Linked DNA regions of Oryctolagus cuniculus. The protein of the gene in region 2 purifies or fractionates together with the protein of the main gene of each other region. This does not show direct contact. Links are inferred from orthologs where the notes say so. Each region holds a gene or a part of one and is shown on either strand. Other genes may lie near its edges.

Region 1 (2,345 bases), on a different chromosome or scaffold from region 2:
GGTTCTTTTCCAAGTAGGTTCTGTTTACCCTACTCCCCCAAATCCCTGAGCCAGAAGTGGGGTGCTTATACTCCCAAACCCTGAGTGTCCAGCCTTCCCCCTGTTGAGTTTTTAGTCTCTTGTGCTGTGCCTAGTGGCACCTGGGCTGGGGAGGACACTGCCCCTGTCTGGGTTTTTATAAATGTCTTACTCAAGTTCAAACCTCCAGCTTGTGAATCAACTGTGTCTCTTTTTTGACTTGGTAAGCAAGTATTAGGCTTTGGGGTGGGGGAAGTCTGTAATGTGAAACAACTTCTTGTTGTCTTTTTCTCCCATTGTTGTAAATAACTTTTAATGGCCAAACCCCAGATTTGTACTTTTTTTTTCTAATTGCTAAAACCATTCTCTTCCACCTGGTTTTACTGTAACCTTTGGAAAAGGAATAAATGTTGTCCCTTTAGTGGTGCTTTAATGACTGGTCTTCTGGGGATGGGGTGAGATCTGTGGACACTAGTTAACCTCCAGCCAGGAGCAAACTAGAAGGCAGGTAAGTTTACGGGCTTTGTCGTCGTAGGGCTGCCCTGCCCGTACACCAGAACGCAGGGAGTTCAGAGCTGACATCAACCCAGGGAGTGCCAGGAAACAGAGGCTCAGGTGGGTATAGAAAGGTACCATTTTATTACAAAGAGTCGCACAAAAATGAAAATAGTATCTCAAAAAGGAAGCTAGGCCGCCAGCCTCCACCTGCAGAGCTGGGGAAGACCGAGGGCGGGCAGCATTAGTTTCGGGGCTCACCTGAGGCCAGCGGGACGGTATGACGAGAACAGAACCAACCTAAAAATGGCTAACGTTACCTTAGGGGCTGGAAAGAACAGGAAGTCCCTGAAGACCCAGCCACCCCTACCCTCCTAGAATGGTCAACAGGGGGCACCTTTCCATACCTGCTAGGGACACACCCCGGCGTGTCTTGTAGCTCCCTTCTACCCACACCTGGAGCCCTTCGTGGTTTAAAATCGAACTGGGGAGGGATGGCTGGCAGGGCAGCGGCTATGAGTTTACCCAGCTTGGCTACCCTGGCCTCAGGGCCTTGGTTCTTGTCTAGTCCTCAGGGATATTTATATTTAATATATTTTTATATAAATACACAGAAATAGAAAATATAAAATCTTGAGGGGTTAAGGGAGAAAGGTGGGAAAGCTGGCCAGGAGCCAGATCTGGAGAAGTCTGCTCAGGCCAGCTTGACCTCCTCTTTGACCCTGTGGAGAAAGCAGAGACTGGCATGAGATAACCCACCCCAGAGGCCTTGGGGCAAGAGTGGGGATACAATGACTTCCTCAGGCCCAGGCTGCCCAGGTGACTGCCGGGGGCTGGGGCTTCTTAGCTCTGCCTAGAGCTGCAGAGACAGACAGACTGGTCCCTGAAAGAGGCCTTTGTAAGTGGGACCAGCTGTCCCTGTGCCTTCCCTCTCAGAGCAGTGGGACAAAGGGGCTGATGCTCCAACACCAAGGCAGACAGCTCCTTCCTCACCCTTTGGCTTCTGGCTTCTCCTCCTTGGTTTTCTCCTCTTCTGCGACTTCTAGAACATAAGAGTGCAGGGATGATCAAGGGCAGCCCCTCTGGAGAGACCCATACAGTCTTTACCCCAAAACCCCCTCCCAGCACTATGGCTTACTGGACTTAGAACAAGAGAAAAGCCCATCCCAGGCCCTCCCAGTGAGCCCTGCTGAAAACAGACAGGTTGGACCGGTTTTCCAGCCTGCCTGAGCCAGAGCTTGGTGGGCGGAGGCAGCCCCCTGGGAAACTGGGGTGAGTGCTGGGAAAAGCGCTTGGGTGGTATGTGAGAGCCACTGCATTGTGGGCCCTGCTGCTTCTGGGAGCCCCTGATCCCTGCAGATGTGGCAGGGCGTGGGCTGAGACCCCAGTGCTGGACATCCAGACCTACCTTTCTTCTCTTCAGCATCTTTGTCTTTTTCATCTTCTGTTTTGACTCTCTTGGCTTTCTTGAAGTTGGAAGAATTCTTGCGCCCGCCCTCTCCCTCCTCATCGGAGTCGGAAAACTCCTCCTCACAGGCAATTCGTTTGTCAGAGGAACAGACTAGGAGGCAGGAGATGGAAAGTCTGGGTGAGAGCAGGAGGTTTTAATCCCAGGGTCTATGTTCAGTGCTTCGCTGTGTGTCCTCAGAGACAACCAAGGGATGGGGACCACAAGGAGGTGAGGGAGTGAACTGACTCCCAGCCTGTTCCTGCAGGCCCTAGAACTTCCAGGTTTCTCAGCAGGCAGGCAGAAATGGCGGAGGGAAGCCCTAGCTGCCTGCTGAGTAGAAGGCGGAGGCCAAGAGTCTGTGTCTTACTCGAGATGCGCTTGT
Region 2 (3,656 bases):
ACAGACCCTAGGAGGCAGCAGTGACAGCTCAAGTAACTGGATTCCTGACACCCAGATGAGATGTGGACAGAGCTCCCAGATCCTGCCTTCAACTCAGGCCAGGCTTAGCCACTGCAGACATCTGAGGACTACTATCTGTCTCCACTTCTTAGATAACAAACAAAAACCAGCAACATTACTTCTACCATGATAAGAACACACAGCACCCTGGCAGCACTCAAAAATGCAAGCTGGTAATGAACTAGAACCCAGGTTTACACATTGGATAGCTGTCACATCTATTTTCTGCAGGACTTAGGAACTCACATTTACTCAACAAATCGTTGAGTGAATAATTTACCACGAGCAACAGACTAAAAGCATGCCCTTTCCCCTAATGCTTGCAATACCTGGGGAGATTACAAGAGGACAACCCTGTCCCCAGAGCAGAGAATACTCGGGAAAAGAGAAATGGGAGTAAAACCTTGTTCACATCAGCACCGCTGACCACCCATTAAGTCAGCCACGCTCACATGAGCAAGTGTGTACACTTCTGTTGGGGTACAAGGGAGCAGAATCTGACTGCCCAGGGCCACCCATGACTACTGAACCATTCTTGGGCAACTAGGAAAGAAGATAAGTCAATTTTACATCACTGTAGCTAGAGCCTCTCTTCCCAAAAACTCCCTCCTCAATGGAGAATCTGAAACACATCGGGGCACCACTTTTAGGGCGGCACTGCCTCCGGGATCAGCAAAGGTGGACAACGTAAGGCTGACCTGCACTTTAACAAGGCTTACCTGCGTTTCGGATCCTTTCTTTGTACTGCTGATCTAGTTTTTTCATTCTCTTCTGATATTCCTGTAAGGTACCTGATTTGAGAATTTACAAAATAGTTACTTTAGGGATCAATCTGTTTCCTAACATTATCTTTGAGCACCAACAGTGATATTTTAATAACACCAGAGTAAAAGACAAATGCAGGAAAGCCCGACCTGGGCAGAGTTAACTGGATCTTGGTTCTTGGCCAAGGCAGCAAAAATCAAATTAGTTGGACCTAATCTGAGTCCACCCCAACCCAGTGGCCCAAGACTCTCCCATGAGGGGGTGTGGAAGGATCCAGACACCCCAGGTGCTATCAGTCCCTGGCTGCTGGACAGTGTGTATCCCTTTACAGGAAAAATCTTCTAGGTCAAGGCTGTCCAGCAGAATGCTCTGCCAACAGTAGAAATGTACTACATGTGCACTAATATGGTAGCCATCGGCCATGTGTGGCTATATTAGCTCTTGAAACTAATGTGACCAAGCAAGTGAATTATTGTTATTTAATTAAATAGCTACTTGTGGCTATGCCAGTTCTAGACAGCTCTAGTTTAGATTCTAACTGAATCCCTACTTATTTCACTGCTCTTCCCCAAAAAGCCAAGAATCACGGTCCCAATTTGAGAAGGAAACCTGTTCTAATAATGTCTGTCCCTGACCCAGGCTAAGGGAGTGAATCATGTAGGACTAAAATATCTAGAGGAAAAGCAGTTTCACAGATGTGGGACTCCACAATATGAAGTCAAAGAGCTAAAGGTAGCAGCTAATGGCCCCGAGTTCTTACGGGGGCCCAACACTCCTCACCTATAAATTCACCCACTCCTATTTTCTTCATTTTGCAGATAAGAAAAAAGATAAAGAGAAAGGGATATGACCAAGGTCACATTCCTAGAGACACTGGGGTTCAAACCAATCATTGAGCTCAGCCCATGTTCTTAACCCTCACACTTGCACTGCCTTCAGTAACCAAAAGCAACAGACAAGATCCACTTTTTATTTAAAGATTTCTTTAATTTATTTGAGAGGCAGAGTTACAGACAGAGAGAGGGAGAAGAAAGTCCTCCATCTGCTGGTTCGCCTTCCCATGTGGCCGCAATGGACAGAAACTGGGCCAATCCAAAGCCAGGAGTTAGGCGCCTCCTCCAAGTCTCCCATGTGGGTGCAGGGGCCCGAGGACTTGGGCCATCTTCCACTGCTTTCCCAGGCCATAAGCAGAGAGCTGGATCAGAGCAGCAGCCAAGACTCAAACTGGCACCCATATGGGATGCTGGCAATGTAGGTGGAGGCTTAGCCCACTACACCACAGCACCGGCCTCAGATCTAGTTCATTTTTAATTTACCAAGAAAAGAGAAAAAACAGTATGGATAATCCACAGTTCATTAACATTTGGTTGAGATAGAGTAGTAAAACTAACTATTCTTTGCTACAATAATATCTAGCTTTAGACACAGTGATAAATTCATGTCCTATAAAAGCCCCAATTGAAATTTCATTTGAAGAATTAATCTGTTACTTTTTTTTTGCCTTTTTCAAAGTGTTTATCTTTTATTTATTTTCTTTTAAATTTATTTGAAAGTCAGAGTTACACAGAGAGAGAAGCAGAGAGAGAGAGGTCTTCCATCCGATGGTTCACTCCCCAACTGGTCACAACAGCTGGAACTGCGCCGATCCGAAGCCAGGAGCCAGGAGCCAGGAGCTTCTTCTGGGTCTCCCACGCAGGTGCAGGGGCCCAGGTGACTTGGGCCATCTTCTACTTCTTTCCCAGCCATAGCAGAGAGCTGGATCAGAAGTGGAGCAGCCAAGTCTCGAACTGGCACCCATATGGGATGCTGGTGCTTAAGGCCAGGGCGTTAACCCGCTGAGCCACAGTGCCGGCCCCAAACTGTTACATTTTAAAAATAAATTAATGGGGCCAGTGCCACGACGTAGCAGTTTGACACTGCGGCATGGAGGGTAAAGCCGCTACTCACAATGCCGGCATCCCACATGGGAGGCAGTTGGTTCCTGTCCCAGCTGCTCCACTTCTGACCCAGCTCCCTGTGACGGCCTAGGAAAAGCAGAAGTTGGCCCAAGTGTTTGGGTCCCTGCCACACACATGGGAGACCCAGAAGAAGCTCCTGGCTTCAACCTGGCTCAGATCTGGCGATTGGGGCCATCTGGGGAGTGAACCAGCGGATGGAAGATCTCTCTGTCTCTCCCTCTAACTCGGACTTTCAAAGTAAATAAATCTTCCTAAAAAAAAAATCACTTTAGTGAGAGAAGATAGCAAAACATGCAGTAGATCGCTAAAACCAGCCAGATCCCCTTTTAAGCCACTGCCGCAGAGAAGTGAGATTCACACACCGAAGATTTGAAGCTAACAGTGAAGGATTCAGCCACACACTGACCTTCCTGCAGTTGCTGCAACTGCCTCTTGAGAGAAGCCAGTTTGTCCTGATACATCCTGTGAAGAAAGAAAAGCCACGCTGAAAAGCAGAACACTCAATACTCCATTCAAACATGGTCCTCGCAGGAATTACCTGGGATGTTACGGGAACGTCAATCCTAACATTTAAGAGACTGGCTCATTTAAAGTGGACCAGTACAGGGGTCAAAAAAGGACTGCATCCCACATCAGAGCGCCTGGATTCTAGTCAAGGCTCCACTCTCCATTGCAGCTTCCTACGAACACAGACCCCGGGAGGCAGCAAGTGACGACTCAAGTAACTGGGTTCTTGCCACCTACAAGAGAGGCCTGGAATGGGTCCCTGGCACCTGATATTGGGGAGTAAACCAGTGGGTGGGAGTTCTTTCCCTCTATCTCTCAAATAAATAAAAATTTAAAAATTAAAATAAGACCTTCAAATATGAAGAC

The links. Proteins that work in one complex are often made in the same cells at the same time.
Region 1: the proteins of SUDS3 (region 2) and HDAC1 purify together in Homo sapiens (affinity purification with mass spectrometry; 9 studies listed by BioGRID and IntAct, counting the BioPlex papers as one, with this or other methods). This does not show direct contact. The link is inferred for Oryctolagus cuniculus from reciprocal best matches to the Homo sapiens genes SUDS3 and HDAC1.

Annotation. Positions count from the first base shown.
Region 1 is NC_091438.1:140,146,217-140,148,561, forward strand, and holds the end of HDAC1 (histone deacetylase 1), read right to left. Parts: coding exon 2,331-2,345; intron 2,075-2,330; coding exon 1,922-2,074; intron 1,556-1,921; coding exon 1,507-1,555; intron 1,236-1,506; coding exon 1,208-1,235; 3' UTR 635-1,207; downstream 1-634. UniProt on the Homo sapiens protein: Histone deacetylase that catalyzes the deacetylation of lysine residues on the N-terminal part of the core histones (H2A, H2B, H3 and H4).
Region 2 is NC_091452.1:14,529,560-14,533,215, reverse strand, and holds part of SUDS3 (sin3 histone deacetylase corepressor complex component SDS3), read right to left. Parts: intron 3,246-3,656; coding exon 3,190-3,245; intron 852-3,189; coding exon 780-851; intron 1-779.